Linked DNA regions of Oryzias latipes. The main gene of each other region encodes a partner of the protein of the gene in region 2 in a complex. Links are inferred from orthologs where the notes say so. Each region holds a gene or a part of one and is shown on either strand. Other genes may lie near its edges.

Evidence for each region.
Region 1: the proteins of ncaph2 (region 2) and ncapg2 are in contact, whole or in part, in a cryo-EM structure (PDB 9F5W), measured with the Homo sapiens proteins. The link is inferred for Oryzias latipes from reciprocal best matches to the Homo sapiens genes NCAPH2 and NCAPG2. Residues at the interface, in NP_689512.2 of Homo sapiens: Pro316, Trp317, Gln318, Ser319, Leu320, Pro322, Phe323, Asp324, Ser325, Leu326, Glu327, Ser328, Lys329, Pro330, Phe331, Lys332, Lys333, Gly334, Arg335, Pro336, Tyr337, Ser338, Val339, Glu344, Gln360, Asp361, Phe362, Gln364, Trp365, Tyr366; in NP_001268861.1 of Homo sapiens: Lys248, Leu251, Gln252, His292, Ile294, His295, Leu296, Pro297, Arg299, Ser300, Val302, Lys340, Ala341, Arg342, Asn343, Ser344, Glu345, Val346, Pro388, Tyr389, Pro390, Arg393, Gly425, Glu426, Ala428, Phe429, Asp430, Thr431, Ser432, Arg437.

What each region holds. Positions count from the first base shown.
Region 1 is NC_019878.2:19,843,680-19,852,585, forward strand, and holds the end of ncapg2 (condensin-2 complex subunit G2), read right to left. Parts: intron 8,300-8,906; coding exon 8,129-8,299; intron 8,054-8,128; coding exon 7,983-8,053; intron 7,905-7,982; coding exon 7,751-7,904; intron 7,667-7,750; coding exon 7,493-7,666; intron 7,412-7,492; coding exon 7,295-7,411; intron 5,403-7,294; coding exon 5,256-5,402; intron 4,497-5,255; coding exon 4,397-4,496; intron 4,285-4,396; coding exon 4,082-4,284; intron 4,003-4,081; coding exon 3,868-4,002; intron 3,776-3,867; coding exon 3,672-3,775; intron 3,595-3,671; coding exon 3,494-3,594; intron 3,396-3,493; coding exon 3,296-3,395; intron 3,218-3,295; coding exon 3,166-3,217; 3' UTR 2,898-3,165; downstream 1-2,897. Other genes in the region: ptprn2 (receptor-type tyrosine-protein phosphatase N2), read right to left, coding at 2,105-2,189. UniProt on the Homo sapiens protein: Regulatory subunit of the condensin-2 complex, a complex which establishes mitotic chromosome architecture and is involved in physical rigidity of the chromatid axis.
Region 2 is NC_019881.2:24,034,011-24,044,337, forward strand, and holds the start of ncaph2 (condensin-2 complex subunit H2), read right to left. Parts: upstream 5,015-10,327; 5' UTR 4,764-5,014; intron 4,247-4,763; 5' UTR 4,197-4,246; coding exon 4,089-4,196; intron 3,772-4,088; coding exon 3,670-3,771; intron 3,600-3,669; coding exon 3,538-3,599; intron 3,452-3,537; coding exon 3,373-3,451; intron 3,268-3,372; coding exon 3,211-3,267; intron 842-3,210; coding exon 762-841; intron 692-761; coding exon 442-691; intron 371-441; coding exon 299-370; intron 62-298; coding exon 1-61. UniProt on the Homo sapiens protein: Regulatory subunit of the condensin-2 complex, a complex that seems to provide chromosomes with an additional level of organization and rigidity and in establishing mitotic chromosome architecture.

The DNA.
Region 1 (8,906 bases), on a different chromosome or scaffold from region 2:
ATTCACAGCATTTTTACCTTCTCACAAGAAGTCAAATCTTTTGGGAAAAGCTCACATCAGCATCCAATTCTTAAAGTTGACTTCAAGCTCCAGATAATCAAACACTTGCTTTTAGGCAGGTGATCCCACCTGTTAATGAATCAGAAATCAAGGGGGGATTGGAAGCACCTGGCTCTTTAAATGCTTTGAAAGGAGTAAAGGCATTTTGGATTTAATATCTTCAAATAAAATCAAAATTGGCCTATTTATGGTTGTGAAGAAATGTTTTCAAAATATTTTCCACATTTGCCAAATTATATTAACTGCAGTTGAATACAACAAAATAATACAATTTCTTTTCATTTCTTCTGTTTCAGCCAATTTTAAATAGTCTCTACAGGAAGACTCACACTCCAGTTTCAAAATCTAGCAGTTTAATTATTGTGACACGTGTTTATGCCTTAAAGCCAAACATCCAATAGGCCACCAACAAAGCCGCCACATACTATTTTTATTTTTTCTTCTCTCTTCGCTCAATATCGTTGGATAGGAAAGTTAGGGCACCAAAATGTATGTTTTTATAGCCTTTGTACAAAACTGAAAAATACTCTTTAAATTTAGACACTACAAATATCAAAGGTTGCTATGAGGGACTATGTCCTGCTGGTTTTATCCAGTTACCCCCATCCTGAGTAATTCAAATTATATGGATCAGGTGTTCTGCCGGTAAGATGCTGAAAGGGATGGAGCAGTTGGAAATGAAACGGGTCAATGGCTTGTGAGCTCTGAAGTCTGTCACCCCTGATCTGTAGTGTTTTCAGAAAACGGTCCAAAAACGCATATACTTGGCCAGCGGCGGCCATGTTGGCATCCAAAGACCTTGTAAAGGCTTGTTAAATCAGTTTAAGTGGGTCGATTTGAACTGCAACCATGTTTGAATGGATGAATGACTGACTGGATGTTGCCTAAAACAAATTTGTTGAAGCTACTTTTTTTTCCAAACATTATTGCAGGAGACGCTGCAACTGCAGAAATTTTAACCTTGTCTAACATTAAACTCACAGCCAGTATAAATGTCTACAGCAGTGTTTCCTCGGATACATACCTTTATTGAACCAGAACAATGAGATTTAAAATTTTCAAATGGGTTGTGATAATTCTTAGTGGGACTCATTACCAAAAATAAATAAAAAAAATAAAAATAAAATCGTCTCTTCTTTAGAAGTGCATTGACAATTGAAACCTTAATATTTAAGACAATTAGAGAAACAAAATGTGATGGTTTAAGGAGAAAAAAAATTCAGGGAAGAAGACCAATCTCTTACTGATGACTAATGTCTAAATCTGTGATCAAAAAACAATAAAGATTGAAAGAAAGGAATTAAATATTCTCCTGTTCTAAATATACAGGACGGTATGGAGCTCAGTAGCTGTATGAATCATCAGTCAGCCGGAAATCTATATTTGCCTCTGGCTCATAATAAAGTTTGTGCTGTAGTGTTCTGGCTGCTGACTGTAGACCAGAAGGTGCTAAAGAAGTGCTACATTCACAGTGAAACGGTGGGAAACCGGATTTCAACTGGCAGACCAAAGCTGTGAGGTGGATTTCCATCCCTCTATGTACCAAAGTGGTCATTCATGTTTTTCCTGCATTTAAAACATTACAGGTGGAACCAACAAAGGTTCCTGAAATGTCACACTTTCTTTACATGACACTGTAATTTTGTTACAAAGCAGTTAAAAGTAATTTGTGCGCATTTCATTCACTGGTTATTGTTAAATAAAGTCATATTTGTTGTATAGCACGTTTAAAAAAAAGTATTGGAAGAAACACTTTGTGCGTAAGAGCCTGAAAGATTACGTAACTTTGTCTGATAGATCTTTTTTTTATCACTACAGGAAACCTCGAGTTCTCAACTTTCATCGGCTTAAAACTAAATGTTTCAATTCACGTGGGACTCATCTGAACTTTTGTCCAGAGACTACATGTTTTAATCCAGTCATGCATTATAAGAGACTGTTTGAAGGATTCAGCACCATGGACAGAGGCTGAAACGAACCCGCAACACTATTTGGATCAAAAAACAACAAATAATAGAAAAAAATAGATGTAATATTTACTTACCGAATTTTCTATCGGCGAGGGCAGATGAGGGGCAGAGGCTTACAGCCAATGCAGTGAAGAAGATGGGACACCACCGCGAATCCATGCCGCTCCTGCTCAAGAAGCCGAACCCGAATCCATGGCTCGCTAAAACGGCATGTTTGGACGCACGCGGGGGTCTGCTGCTCGGTCTGGGGGGTCTTAAATTGGCATTTTTTTAAAGGTATGTTGAGGGGTAACAACACCGACGTTGTTTCAGCACCACAAACAGCAACCAGCCTCACAGAGGAGCCCCGCCCAGGTTACTGACGTCAAACAGACACATGAGATGAGGAGAGCGCTCTGAATGGTTTTTACCGGGAGGCGTGAACGCACCACGCCAAAAGAAACCTAAAAAAAAACACCTGATTACTATACTTGTTACAGGCATGACAATGGTGTTGTGAGTTTGCTTTATTTACTGAACAGAGATGTGCACTATCAGCACCTGAAAATTGAATACACCATTTATGGAAAATAAAATATAATTTAGAACATATTTCTAAGCTTTGACCTCCAAAACACTCAAACAAACCTAAATAATCTATAAAATTTGAATCATGTAGTTCATATAAGCATTTTTGCATAATGAGATAAAAAATATTCCTCTATAGGGGTGAAAGCTGTGATAGTTACCCAACAGACACATCTTACTTATATTGATTTATAGTTTGTAATGATTAAAAACTAGATATAAAAACATGCAGTGATGTTTTGATTTACAAGAAAACATGTAAATTAGGATCGTGGAAAAAAACAGACAACAATTCTGTTCATTTAAGTCACCATGTTTTTAAACATTGTCAAAGCTTTTTGCTTTGACAAAATAAGACATGCGCACTGTGAGGAGGGAAGTAAACAGAGAAAAGAAGGAAATACAAAAGCTTTAGTATATATTTAAAAATCCATTTAGAGAAACTGGAACATTATATGCTTGTTTTCCGTCAAGTTCATCCAATATTGTGATTTCTTTGCTTCTAATTACGACACAAATATGAAAAATGAGGAAATAGCTTCCTGTTCACCATGGCAACAAATTGATGTTATAAATGCAGGATCTCATTCAAAGTCTTCACTGAAGATTCATAGATGGCCCTGAAGCAACAAAGGGAGTGAAATTAGTCAAATGAAGAATTACCAGTACGAAAAAGATGCTTTTTTCCTGTTTCTCACCTCTGGATTTCTCCATCGTCTTCATCAGAGATGGCGTATTTGTGGATCTGCTGCTGGATGGATACCGCTGCACTCTTCAGCCCAGCTTCAGAACCTTTGGCTAAAGATGGACAAACACAACATTTATACATATATTTATATAGATTTTCTTTAACATGAGCTTGATTTTAAAATAAATATTCTGGTGACTCAACCCACCCCCCTTGATAACTGCTAAAACACGCAGAACGGCAGCCAGCTCAGAGAGGCTGCTTATGGCTTCAGAGTCCAAAGATGAGCCCACCTCTGTCAGAAATGACCTAAGAGAAGAAAGAAAGCATTTCAGCATCTATGACATGTTTTTCATGAATGTTTTAAAATACTTTTAAGGCCATACTTTGTAATCTGTGGTGACTTCAGAATGACCGACAGCAATGTGCTGGACAAAGGAGGCATCTCATCTACTGACTGTGGGGCGATCACTTCCTCTGGATGAGCAATCTGATAAAAATCCAAATACTAAAAGCTTAGAAGAGGCATTTCTCTCATTAACTTCAATTACACTTTTTTATTTTAGCCGAGTCATCTCAAACCTTTTGGAGAACACGTCTCTTCTCCACAATGATGATGGCAAAAATGGTAGAGAGGACTCCACTGAGAGGTTCTCTGTCCCAGGTTTGTGCCACTTGGAGGAAGTCTCTCATACCCGCGACGACTGACAGACACAGCTGAACCAGGAGACACGAAGAACAGCAACCTCAAAGAAATGTAACGCCTTCACAAAAGAGAGTAAAGAGGACAACATGCCTGTTTTCCCCCCTCTGGATCCTTTCGAAGCCTCTTTGCCAAAACCTCGATTATCTTCTGGAAAATATTGGCCACCACCCCCAGAATGACAGCAGTTGGATCCTCCTTGCTCTCCTGATTCTGGTTGTTGTCCTCGGGTACTTTACTGTTTGCCACCTCCTTTAGAATCAGCAGCACAGCAGGGATGCATCGATAGCCTCCCTCTGCACGCGTGGAAAGAGGTTTTTCTTTTTTCCCATTTTCATCAAAGCACAACGGTTCACCAGATTATATGGAAGAGTTCTGACCCCGAACAGGCACTTTTAAAACCCTCACCTGAGAGGAGGAGGACTGAGCACAGGTGGAGGATTTCACTGTAGAACTTCTCATCGCCCAAATCCACAAGAATAACATCACAACACACGGTTAAGAAGCTCTGGAAAAAATGTACAAATGTTAGACGTTAGAAACACTTTTGATATCAGTCAGACTGGAGAAACAGTGAACTAAGAAATGGCAAAGAATAAGAAATAAAACGGAGAGTTTTGTACATGGTGAGTGGGGACAGAAGCAGAACGAGACAAAATTCACTCAGCAGAACTGCAAGATGTGGAAGGAGGAGGTTAAAAAGACAAAATTCTGTACTAAAAACTGTTTTTATCTGCAGGGGAAATGTGCTGCTCTGAAAGGAAGAAGCCAGAAGTTGTAGGAACAAAAGCATTTGATTGAATCTGCCTGCTGGGAAATCACATCACAGGGTTTGACAATAATCTGCATAAATAACCTTGCTAAAATGCGCCGGCGTTTATCCGCATTTCACTCTTTCTTTATGAAAAGGAGAAAAAAAAAACTGGAGCTGCACGGATTGCAAAAGCCTCCGACTGTCGTAGACGGAAAGCGAACAGGCGTTTATTAAAGCGATAGGCCTCCCGCTGGTGTGATTCTGAGGGGAAAGACATGGCTGCTCGTACGCACACATGACACATTTGCTTATGCGAGCTAAGACCACACCCCTGAGTGACACAAACACAGCCTCATATCTCGTTGTGAGACATTTTCTCCGCTTGACAGATAAAAACACTTGATTCTTGGCAAACAGGCTACATTTTCTGCATTAATCTGGAAAAGATCAACACTAAAATCCCTTCTAAATATTGTCCAGCTGTGTATAAAATTAAGGAAAAGCAGATGTTACCTCAATTATTTGAGCAGCCAGCAACTGTGACTTGTCTGATTCCTCCTGGTTGCTGCCGGTTTGTTTAGTCAGAAAGGGCAGCACCCTGTCTGCTACCCAGACTGCCACATGCTCCAGGGAGAGCAGGTACTCCCGGCCTTCTGTCAGCTAGGAAATAAAGCAAAAGCCTTCGGTTTATTTTCGACAGTAACTTTTTTTACAGCTAAGCAGAAGGAACAGGCTCCTGGCCAGGAAGAAACTGGCTGTTAAAGCAGTCAGCTGGTGAAATGTGTGAAGTCGAAACTGCTCCAGAAGGTGTTGAAGAAAGGAAACGAGAGAAGAATTATTCTTTTACTAATATTGTTTTTGTTATTTATAAATCTGCACATTATCTTCAGCACGCACAAGAGATAAAGATACGTTTTTAACAGGAGTATAAATGTTTACGACGTCAACATTTAGACGTACAAACAGAACATGTCAAAGCAGCAAAAGCTTTTATTCCTTTTACTCACCACTAAAAAGAAACGTTTTTCACTTTATTTACCAAAATAAAAGAAAATTAGTTCTAATAAAGTATTTGCTTTAAAGCAACAAGGTCTACACTTTCATTTAGTTAATTGTTATGTCGATTTTTGGACACATTTGTTTGCCTAACTAGAGGTGTAACAATTAATCGACTTCATTGATTTATACTCTTACGATCCAAACAGGTCGATCTGTCTGGGATAAATTATTAATTGAAGAGAACTATACAATTACTTCAAAATTAAAAATTATACATTATAATTGATATTGGAAAATACAATCCGGATTGAAACACTGTAGTTTTATTTCACTATAATGCAAAAACTACAAAGTGACATCACAGCGGACAACATACGTGATGACAGCAAAAAAACATATCAGTCCATCAATCCAGTTCAGTGTGTGGAAACACTTTGAATGTTCCAATAGTTCGTATTATTTTGGTGTGGAAAAGAACAGTGGGCTGAACTTTAGAAAGGCAAAATGTGAACGGATTTGCCATTAAGTCTTGTTTACTTGCTTGTTTGTACACATATTCAATTTACCGTACACTTGACTATCTTGCAAGAAATGCCAGGAATGTGGAAAACGTCAGCTGCAGTGTTCAGCTGCAGGTATTTATCTCTGAGTCACACCGGTTGAAGTTTCGAAACAGGATTAGGTTCATGAATTGGATTGTTGAAAATGAACCATTATCGACTATAAATCATATCAGCAACCCCAAATTATAGGAATTGAATCGTTAAAATGAATCATTGCACCCCTATGTGTTACCTGTTTTGAAAATACTAGTTATTTTAAATGATTTCAAAACTATTTTATTTATAATTCATAGTAAGCTGCAACTTATCTTTTAAAAATGTTGTTTCATTACCCAGTAATATTGACTGGATGTCATTTATTTCCCCCTAATGATAACTATTTGATTGCTTTCCCCATTAAAGAACTAAATCTTCCTCACAATCTGAAATCTGATCGTTTATTATAAGCATAACAAATTTTAAGCAGTTTTGTCGCAAAAGGATTGTTTTCTTCTGAAACACAGAGAGAGAAAAAGGATTTTTTTTTTCCATGAGCAGACATGAGATGACAGTCTGCATGCTGTTGTTCTTCTCCCCTGCTGTTGAGATGAAGGTTGACAGCACTCGCTATCGTTTCTTTCTGACTCGCTGGAAACACCAAATTCTCCCTCTCCTGCTGCGTTTTATGAGATACGAGATAAAAATAAAAGCACGGGTCAGATCTCCAAGTCATGCTGGTAAATTTAGTCACGCAGATTCAAAGAATTGTTGAAATATTTACAGTCTGGAGCTTTGAGTGCGGCTTTGTCTTCATGAAAATTATTCTTTTTGCCAATATTCTTATTTTTACTGAGATCAGTTCCCACCTGTAATTACCTTTTCAGTAAACTAAAAAGCTAAACTTGTTCATAAAGTAGAAGGAAGGTGCTAAAAGATTGCATATCCATGATCAAGTTGGTTCAGATTGAAAAAATTCAAGTTATAAAAAATATTTAAAAAAATCAAACATACGTTATGTTGTAAATGAGCACCAAGGCGACCGTGGAACATAAACGCTTTCAGTGCCGTCTCCGTGCTGGGACACTCTGGGATTTCTGTGGTGGAGCTGAGGTGACTGTACAACACTGACTGCATTGAGAAAACACAGATTAAGCTGACGACACAAGAGCAAAGACAAAGCTAAATGGATAGAAAATCTATCGATGATACCTTCCAACTGCCCAGCACTGTGTGGAGCTGCTTCAGAGGTTTTTCACCAAGAGCAAGGACTTTATCTCGGGTTGGCGTGTGGCTGAAAAGGTCCTCCAGGTATGCTAGAGCCAGGTCTGGTTTGGCCTCCACACTTTCTTGAATACGAACCTTTCTGCGAGAACCCTCCTTTCCCTGATGTTGATAAGTTGTTTTATTGTTTTACCAAAAAAGCTCTCGAGTCAAAACCAAACCTGCAGGATGACTTTAGTGACTGACCGCTTGCTTGGGAAGAGATGCGCTGAGCCAGTCAGTGATCAGTTCAAGGACATCAGCAGCCTGTCCCCAGCTGCAGATACAGTCCAGCAGCTGGCTGTACTGTTCCGGAGCCACTCCAGACTCCATCTTCCTGAGTCTTGACAGGACTCCACAGCTAGACAGAGAAAAAAAAAGACAAGTGAAGCCAAAAAAAACCCAAAAAAGTACCATATAGAATTCTTCTGAGGCTCACCTAAATGTTGGAACTGCAGCTGGAGGCAGAAATGATGCCAGTTTGATCAGAGGAGCTGTGGCTCGCTCATCCTGAAAAACAGTCAAGTGTGATCAACACTCATCTCATTAAAAAGTATACAAAACAAAACACTGCAGAAGAAATACCTCAAAAGCCTGGAAATACTTGGACATAACATTTCCAAACTTGGCTGATGTGTACTTGTACGCCTCTTCGTTGTGTTTCAGTGCTTTTTCAACACTTCTCCAGAGGATGACCACAACTTCCAGCAGCCCCGCCACAAGAGCCATGTCCTGACCTAAATGAACAGGGGGGGCCTGCAAAATAAAAGCTTACTTTGGACTTCAATTATTACAGACACACATAGAACAACCCTTTCAATTCCAAATATAACAAACAAATGTGTTTCATTACATTTGTTTATTATTTCCGTTAAATCAAGATTAACTGCAGCTATTTCACAATAAGATTCAGCAATGAAAGAAGCTTTTTTTTCCCGTTGCATCCCTGAACATTCATTTAGCTGTAAAAAAGAAGGCATTTATGCCAACTCTAAATGAGATTATAGGGAGTTTCTTTGCACATTTCCTAATTTTTTCCTCGTTTTGCACATTTCACCTTTTAAATTTGTGAATTAGCGACAGTGTGACAGGTTTGAAAACTAACCGCTCACCTGCACTTGGTACTGAAGAGAGGAGAGGAAAGCTTAGGCTACTTTTTATTTGTTTATTGCGACAATGTTTTTTTTTTGTTATGCTATTTTGACACCACTTTGTCACAACTATTTTCAAAGTAATCTTACTTTTTTTTTTTTTGTTCCACAGTTTTTATAACAAGAAATAAACACGCAAATGAGCAGAATGGAATGCAGCGTATTTATGGGATAGAGTGCATCAAACACAAAACTGAACCCATCGGCTCCTT
Region 2 (10,327 bases):
TCCTGAAGGGCTTGTCGTGGGCGAGGACAGCGTAGGGGTCGTGGAGCGTCCAGACGTTCACCTGGAACAGAGAGACCTTCAGGTAGACGTTTACTTGTGGAGAAGCGTTTCAGAAAGTCCTGAGAACGAAGAAAGACGTCCTACAAACGCCTCTGACTAAAACGGGAGGACCGGCTTACAGCCCGGTCTGCACCTGACACCTTCACCTGAAGGCTGACAGAAACGAGGCAGAGGAGATGGGACTGCACATCTGCAGGATGAAGAACAGACAAGTGGTCTGTGGAATCAGGTGACCTACTGGAGGCGGGGCATCCTGCTGGGGTCTTTCCTCAGCAAAGATCTGCCGTTTCTCTCGGACGCCGCTCCCAGCCTGCAACACAGCCACAACAAGTTCAGGTTCTGGACCGTCCAGGTGGAGCACCTGTGCTGTTCTGATGAGACCTGGTGCCGGTCCACATGCTGCTCTGGGTCCTGGTCACTTCTGTCTTCTGGACGGCAGTCTTCTCCTGCCTCAGGGGGCACGTCTGCACCCATGGAGGCATCAACAGAGGAATCCTGATGCAAGAAGTTGGCGGGATGCAGGTCCAGCTCCAGCGCAGAGCGCAGCCTCAGTAAGACCACGCCCCCCTCCCCCGGGAAGAACAGGTTAATCCGAAAGTCCCTCTGGCTGCACAGCACCTCCCCCTTCACACTGACACACGAAGAGACGGCTGTGAGCAGAGCGCACGGCCCGGCGGGTCAGACCCTGCCGCTCCACCCACCTGATGAGGGGCAGCTTCTGCTTCTCCTGGCTTTCTGGAGGAATCAGAGACTCGGGAGGAAGAGGAGTGACGACCACGGTCTGAGGGTCACATGACAGCAATCACACGCTTACGGCCTGTGTACCTCCCAACAGGCAACACCTGTGTACCTCCCAACAGGCAACACCTGTGTACCTCCCAACAGGCAACACCTGTGTACCTCCCAACAGGCAACACCTGTGTACCTCCCAACAGGCAACACCTGTGTACCTCCCAACAGGCAACACCTGTGTACCTCCCAACAGGCAACACCTGTGTACCTCCCAACAGGCAACACCTGTGTACCTCCCAACAGGCAACACCTGTGTACCTCGCAACAGGTAACACCTGTGTACCTCGCAACAGGTAACACCTGTGTACCTCGCAACAGGTAACACCTGTGTACCTCCTAACAGGTAACACCTGTGTACCTCCTAACAGGTAACACCTGTGTACCTCCTAACAGGTAACGCCGCGGCCTCTTTTCTGAAGACACCGGGGGGGGTATTCCAGGAAGCAGGTTCTGCTAGCTCCCACGGTAAGTTTGAGGCTAAGGAAGTTGATAACCTCAGCTTTCGGTTCCAGAAATGGAGGTATGTTTCAGGGTAGGTCAAGTTGCCATAGCAACTCATGCTCTGAACATAACCTGGTCTGGAGCAGGTTTAGTTGAAGGTTAGTTTGTTTTCAGAGAGGTGAAGCAGCATGGCGTGTCCATTTGAAGATGATTTAGTGGATGAAGAAGCTCAGATAATACTTTTTCCACCATGAGAGAGTGATAAGACCACATATGGATGTTGGAAAGAGAAACTTTATACTTTGATCTAACTTCATTATTTGCTTCAGTTAAGATAAATCATTTTTTTTGTTAAGTTAGATTAAAAATAAAACGTAGTTTTCAGACAGTTGTTTTACTTTCATTCAAATTAATTCAATTAAGTAGGTGCTGTTAGATCGGCACCGCAAAGGATTGTGGGATACCATTCCCTTTGCCTGTCTGGACGGATTTGGATTTAAGTGTGGCTTTGTGACCAAATGTGTTTAGTTGTTTAGCTGTTTTACTGTGTTTTGTCGAGTTATTTTGTCCTACTTTGCTTACGTCTCTGCACCATGAGTGAGAGGGAGGGAGAGGATTATTGATTATTTAATCAATTTATACACTTTGTGCATTTTGTTTCGTCCTTTTTATTGTTATACAAATGAGAATATCTGCCGGCTCAAACTTAGACATTTGAGAGTTCAAGAAATATAATTAAGATGGAAAAAATATTAATTGAATTGGAGTAATATGACATTTAGTTAGATAAATACGTAAATTTGAGTTGCATAAACAATTATTGAGTTTTATAGACGTAAGAAATTACGTTGAATAATTTTAACTCAATTATTTGTTACCAATAGAAGTAATTCATTTAAGTTGGCAAAATTGGATAAGTTATATATATATATATATTTCTGCGTCACAAAGAAAATGGAAATAAGATCAGAAACTCGTGCGTTTACTTTGTTCTTTGTCTCCAAGCAGAAACTCTCTTTTGCTGATGATGCAGCCGTGTTACTTTTTTGATGGACGTATAATCTTCATACGGCGTCATTAAAATCTCAGACTCCGTCTCACTGAAGTATAGCGCTTTCTTTTTTTCCACGTGTTTCCATGGTGACTCCAGAAAGCGGCGATCCATTGAGAATGTCTTTATGTACCTGCTGTGCACGTGCATTAACCCAGGGTTACCAAGTGGAGCGTGATTACGTTAACTCATATCCGGTCTTTTGGAACCGACATACCCAGAGTAAGCAAGTTCGGGTGGATTTCAGCCAGAGTTCAGGCTTAAAGTCAGGGAAGTTTAATCATGCTATCTGGAATATTCTTCCTGGAATTTAAAAAAGAACTGGACATAAACTGCTCATGTTATCGTTCCTCACCAGAAACTGTGCCTCATCAGTTTTGCTCTTTCACTCCAACATTTTGGAAAGATTTGACTCATTTTAGAACAAACCCCGTGAAACTATAAATGATTCTATGAACATATTTCTGGATATTTTACACGAGGGAGATTTAATGCAGAGAAAACATAGATAGTTAACTTACTTATAGTTATGGTCAAATATTCCATTCATACGTGTAAATATGCTAACAAAAAAAACGTATTTTCCTAAAGAAATGATTCTGTGTGTCAATAGCTGTTGGAACAGTGGAAACATGGTCACTGTTGAGACTTTATTTCTGTTTTAGTGTTTTCTGCCTGTTTTTATTATGGCTTTTTGTTCATTTTCCTGGCAAATGTGAACATTTTGAGTTTTGTACAGTGTCAATGTTTGATATTTTGAATGTGCAATATTTGTTAATAAAGTTCATTTGAGGAAAAAAAAAACCTGCTTCCTGCCAGACAGGAAGTTGAACCCCAGCTCGCCCATGGATAGGAAGCTTCCTCACCGTACTCAGACCAGACTGATGCCAGTTCTGTGACTGATCCAGGTCCAGAGGGCTGAACTGATGTAGACAAAAACATCTCATGTTACCCAACATGCTTTGCAGCAGCTGCCAGGAGTAGGCAATCAACAAAACAGGGATTAAACAGGAAGTGACTTTTCTTACCATATCCTGGCCATCATCGTCCCTGTTGCTCGTCATTCTGCTTCCGCCGCTCTTCTCAGTCTCCGCCTCCTGGCTCCGCCTGTCAGGTGGACATCGGTGGACACGGGCAGAAGAACAGTGAGGCCCTGGACAACATGGCGGCAAAACTGCTTAAGCAGAACTGACTTCTTGTTTTTTTCACTGATGAACTCCAGCGTCTGAAAAACCAGATGATGCAGCAGCTCCACCTGCAATGGTCAGAGAGGCTCCATCAGTGGTCCATTTGGGTCACATGACCCGTCACATGACTGCGCCCACCTTCTTGCTGTAGATGCAGGCCGAGCCCTGAATAAGCAAAGCAGCTTCAGCGAAGTTCAGTCGGGTTTTTCCTCCGTCGAAGGTGATGCACATCTCATCCAGCTGCAGACACACAGGGAAGTTAACGTGTTACCTTCACAGAGGGGGAGCCACTGTGGGGAGGGGGGCATCACATGATCACAGCAGCCAATCAGAGTCAAGCTGCACTCCGCCTCCTTCAGTGAAACCAGTGTTTTCATGATGAAGGTCATCTAAATCTGTTTCAGGTTCATCTAACTCAGCTGCTGGGAGTCCAGGTGATTCTGAATAAAGCTCCAGCAGGTGTGGCTACCTGGTTCTTGGTCAGCTTCAGTTTACGTCAGAGAAGCTGGGGTTCTTCTGAGCCCCCCCCAAACAGGTGGCGCTCGTCTCCGTCTTACCTCGTCCAGGTAGTCGTTAAGCTGGGACGCCACGTCCACATCCCAGTTCTTGGTCAGTTCTCTGATGGGCTGCAGCAGGTGAGCAAAGCGGCTCTCTGTGGACTCCATGATGACTCCGCCCCCTCCAGACTCTGGAGAACTCAAAGAACGGGTCGGATCTGCAGGAGGGAACCGGGACAAACACTGAAGGGCGTTTGGGCCACGGATAAACCACCAACCCAGAACCTCCATTCTGGACCCAGAAGAGTGGAGGCGACCAAAGACTCCAGTGTGTGTCTGAACGTCTCACGAAAACGCCTGAACATCTCAGAGAAACGCCTGAACGTCGCACGAAAACGCCTGAACGTCGCACGAAAACGCCTGAACGTCTCACGAAAACGCCTGAACATCTCAGAGAAACGCCTGAACATCTCAGAGAAACGCCTGAACGTCGCACGAAAACGCCTGAACGTCGCACGAAAACGCCTGAACGTCTCAGAGAAACACCCGAACGTCTCACGAAAACAACTGAACGTCTCAGAGAAACACCCGAACGTCTCATAAAAAACCCCGAACGTCTCATGAAAACACCTGAACACTAACAACTCTGTTCTCTAGTCTGCACTGACTGTCGGTCGGTGTCCTCACGTCACTGTCGACCTTCTAAACTCCGGGAATGAAAAGTGGAAAGTCTACCTGCAAAGAGGGCAGTTCTCCAGCAGAGCGGGAAAGCAGTCAGACGTCCGTCACCAAAACACCTGTGGAGACGCACGCGCCCACAGGGAAGGTTAAGCAAAGGAATTGACCGGACTTAACGCTCGCGCCTGTTTCCACTCAAATTACCCGCGCGGCCGGAAGTTCTTATTCGTCGCTCTTGTTTGGTGTCTGCTGCCCCTGTGGCCGCGGGGCGGTACTGCACCGGGAATGATTTCGGATCAGCTCAAACGCAGTCAAACGGACCTTTTCCTGTAATATTCAGTGAAATAAACCTGTAGCAGAAGCTGTGAATAAAGTTGAACTGTTGACAGATTCCAGTTGTTAAACGGGTTGACGTGTTTACATCAATCAGGTCAGAACCAGCAGAACCACCGAGTAAGCCCAGGCTGCAGCCTGCAGAATTGTCTGCAGCCTGCAGAATGGCTCAACGTAGTGGAATGCTGGAACGCTGAGGAATGTGAACACGCTGTGGAATGTTAACCCCGCCCACGTTGAGCCCGTGCATTTGATTCACCTTCATCAGTGCAGTTGTGATTGCAGGAAAGGGGAAGAATAAGTGGAGCACATTTTGTGTCATTGTGAATTGAATGAGGAAGAAAGAGGACAGAGGGGAAGAAAATTTGAATGGTGCAATGTTTTTTTATCACTCAAAAAAATGATTCAAGCCCCTCTTTCATGTAACACAATATAATTGTGTTTGTTTTATTTAAAAATATTTATTTTAAAAGAATTTATCTACATTTAATTGACCTAACACAAAATGTATTAATAATTTCCCCGACAACTCCAGTAATCCAGAATAATTGAGTTCAAGTAAGGGGCATGCTGTTGAATGCTGTTTTCCTGTTTCTCTTTATTTATTCTTTTTGCCGTCTTACGGCAACAATTTTTCACCTATTTTAACTATTCAACTATTAAAATGTTCAACTCCTTCGTCTAATGCCTGGTTTGACTTTTGGTCCTTCAAATCCTTTGACTTTTCAAAAGTGAAAACTTTCGTTCGTTTTTTCCACGTAAAAAAACGAAACTGTGCCATGAAATCGTTTCAACTCGGCTTCTCCCAATAAGACGAAACACGACGAGCCTCATTTATGTAAATAATAAATCTATTTATTTTTACAGGCGGCTTGAAAACATCACAAAAGTGTTAGCTCAGTGGATTAGTTAGTGGGTTTAACATCCAGAGGTTCTGAGTTCGAGGCTGGCTTCTGATTGCTGATGCATGTTTTTTTCCTTTGCCTTTCTTGATAAAATTAAGTTCGATTAACTCAATTATATTTCGTTACATGGAAGAATTTTCTTTGAGGTGGGGTTACTCATATTTATTGGATGGAAATCCTGCCCACAATTAAATTGAGTTCATCCAATGAGTTATTTTTTTGAGTCCGTGAGGCCAGACAAAATTTATTAACTCCCTAATACATGCACATGGAAACTTGTAAAAGGCATGAGAAGACAGCAATCACTGTATAATTTCTCTAATTCAATTAAAAAATGTTTTTTTATTTAGCGCCAATTCGAATTACAGACGTCTCAATGGGCTTCATACCGGTAATTGTAAGGTAAACATACAATGAAAAAGGGATCATGAACACAAAGAATGCATTAGGATTAATACTAAACCTTAACAAAACAGATTAATCTAAACTGATATTCCTGCCCTTAGACCCCCCCTTCACGGTAAGGAAAAACTCCTTAAAAACTGGTAGGTGGCAATATTGCACATGGAAACTTGTGAAACCAAAGAAGACGGGCTCAGCGTGGGCGGGGTTAACATTCCACAGCGTGTTCACATTCCTCAGCGTTTCAGCATTCCACTATGTTGTGCAGTTCTGCAGGCTGGAGCCAGGGGTAGTTGGAACCAATGAGTTCTATCACTAGAGGAGACATCACGTGGTTCCTCATGGGAAGAGAGCACCGCCATCTTGGTGAGGTCAAGTTACTACTGCAGTGCATGTGAACACATTTTTTGCATAATACCAGTTCATTGTTTGGGTTTCAACTGCCAAAATCAGAGAAATGAGTCCATGAAGGAGGAAGGCATATAATGTTACGGGTAAGTATTTTGATTTTTTTAGGGGCTTCATTAATCGTACTCATGTACGGGAGCCGGTTTAGCTCGTGCTGGTTTGCGGCGCCTTCCGTCCGTGAAACCAGGGTTCGACTCCGGGCTGCTCCCTGTTCCCTTCTCTACCCCTGTGCCGGTTCCAAGCCCGGTTTGAGAAGGTTGCGTCAGGAAGGGCATCCGGCGTAAAACATTGCCAAGTTTACCATGCGACTTGTTCGCTGTGGCGACCCCTGATGGGAAAAGCCGAAAGAGACACACATTAATCGTACTCATGTAGACATCCATGATGCTGCAGGGCTGTTATCAACATGCTGCATGATGTACGGATAATTTCCTGTCGACATAAATGTACATTTTATTTTGCTAAACCTGTATACAGCATACTAGGCTATTATAGTAATATAGATTTATACATTTCTGACTCAGTGACTGAACTTTTCTTGCAGGTTTCTAATGGATTCAGACTTCAGGAAAAAGTGGGCCTTACTATCAAAAGAACTAACCCAGATGGATCACTGTGGTACCAACTAGTAATACAGTCTGGATAAGTTTAAAACATTTGTGGAAACAGATTTTGATGAGAGGCCAGACTGTTTGCTTGAAACCTGACACCAAAACATCAGTGTTACACAAACTGATCACTAACATGAATCAGTAAATCTATTGTTTTTCCTTGTTGTTTTTTTAGGGTAAATCTATTGTTTACTTTTGGACTTCTTTTGAATATTTATTTTATTATTGTATTATTATTATTTTTATTATTATGATTATTATTATTATTATTATATACTTTTTTCATTATTTATTGACTTATTATTTATTTATTGTTTGTATTTACTTAATATTGATTTATTATTATTATTATTATTATTATTATTAATTATTATTATTATTATTATTATTATTATTATTATTATTATTATTATTATTATTATTATTATTATTATTGACTTATTGTTGGGTTTTTCTAAATAATTTAAATTACATGTCAAAGAGGTATAAAACTTCTAAATATTTAGAAATTATTTTTAAAATTTCTTTGTAATAAATTTTTTATTAGTAAGAAGTCCTGCAACAATGGATTTTCATTCAAGTTTGAGCTTTTAAGGCTGACTGTTTCTCTTCTTTAACAACAACAAATGACATATCTATATATTATGTATAAATATAATGTATTTACATATATGTATAAATATATATAAATGTAAACATATATACAGTACATAAAAGCTACTTAGACACCACTAAAAGCAATAGAAATCATTGTCATGTGGGCGTCGTCCACCTCACCAAGATTGTGTCGCGCTTCGCCACCGTCGGCCAGGCTTCTAAAGCGGGCGTGTCTCCTCTAGTGTCTCAGGTTTATTCTTCCATCCATCTACGGCAGTGTTCTGAAACCCAAACAAACCAAACCAGTTCCACCTGGGTCGTTAATAGCTGACCAGTTTGGGGAGGGAGTCACTGGCTCCCCAACCCCCAGCTGAGGACAAAGGACTCTTAACGACCTTAAACCATGTAGGCTAAGTTGACAATACCATCCAGTTTCAGGTCTGACTCCTCCCCCATGAGCGCATATATACCAGCTTTTTGACCAGCTAATTCAGAATTGACAAAACCTCTTGGATAAGAAGTGAAACGTCTTCTAACTTTAAAACCAAGTTCAGATGACATCCCCTAAACATACTACTACGTTTAAGTTTATTTTTTAACAATTATGTTTTTATTCATAAATGATTTTTTTAAACAAAATGTTTTTGTGTTTTAAAAACAATCTTTTTCTTGAAAAATTTCTGAAATGTCTTAAAAATAATTGATTATAGAGCTGTGGAACTTGAATCGTTTCTCTGGATGAATGTCGTCATTTCTCTATTTTATACTTTTTAGTTTGTTTTTCTTCTCATTTTCTCTTTTTTTCGGCTGACTTTGTTGCAGCTTTTTGTTTGTGACTTTTGTGTACATAAAGTGTCCAGATTCTGGTTCCCCCATTGCCGTGTTGTGCACATGGGGGTCCAGATGGGGGTCCTCTGTCCTCCTGTTTGCCTGTAACATCGGTGCAGCGGGTCAGAAGAGGAGATAATGAAGATGATGATGATGAAGCTTATCTGATCAGGGTGACGGTGAACAAACTGGACCAATTCAGAATGAACTGAACCAGATTCAATGGTGTTTAAACAGGTTGAACTGGATTCTTCAGTTCTGTTTAATGTTCTGTTCTTCCTCTGTGTCCTAAAGTGTGCCCATTACCCAGACTGGATGAACATGAATGAGGAGGAGGAAGATGTGCTTCTGGAAGTCTTCCTCTCCCGGGACTTGCTCTGCTGATCTGACAGCTGGAATAAATGTCTTTGGGGAGGGTGGGGGTCAGCTGTGACTAAAAATAAGTTTATCCGGAACACTTCTAGCGGAGGAGCTGAGCTCTTCTTCATCCTTTGTGGTGAAAACACTGACCAGTATCTGAGTCTGTGTGTGTACGTGCGTGTTTTTGTGTCTCTGTTTTTGTGTGTCTCTGGTTCAGATTCAAAGATGGATCTGGTTCTGAGCTGGTTTAGAGTCTGAGCTCATTTAGGTTCCTATTCTGACCTGGTTCTGGTTCTCATCAGATCCATTGCTGATGAGCTGAGGCAGACAGGAGCAGACATCTGGTTCCTGTGTCGGTTCCTATTCACCTTCACACTGAAATGAAACACCCCAGCGAGTATCCCATCATGCACCTGTGTCCGGAACAGGTGAGCGCTGGCATGTCTGAGTGGTACTGGGCTTGGGGTGGGGGGATTGAGGAGCTTGTGGTCCAACGCTGTGATCAGGGCAGAAGAGGCCGACATCCAGTCTGGTTGATGGGAATCTGCCATTAACCACTGGACCGGAACCAAGCATGGCGGTGCCAGGGAGTAGCTAGGGTTGCCATAGTAACTGCAAGATTTAGCAAAGCAACCCTATAGCAACCCCAAAAGCGTTATTTAAATGATGTTCATTGTAGAATATTGTACGGCATGTCATCCTTTTCCATTTAACATGTATTTCATGTAATCGATGTTTATCTTTGACTAAATGATGTAATCTCATTAAATGATTCAAAGATCAGAATCAGAATCAGAGATACTTTATTGATCCCACACGTGGGAAATTTGTTTGTCACCATAGCAACTGACAGCAGAGGGAAAAAAGACTTAGAATTAAGTAAATAAAAGCAAGAACAAGAAAATGTAGCATAAATACAGACATCAAGGTATTATAATTTAAAAAGCTATTTACAGAACAGTGCAAGTAAAAAGATTTGCAAAAGAAATGTTCAAAATAGAAAACAACTAAATAAAGAGATAATAAAAAAATGTGCAAAGGTTATCTTTTGCATTGTGTGTTGTTGTACAGGGTTATTCCATTGGGTATGAATGACTTTTGGTACCGGGCAGTTTTGGAGCGGAGCTGTCTGAGCCTCCTGGAGAAGGAGCTCCGCTGTTTGTCCAGAACAGGGTGG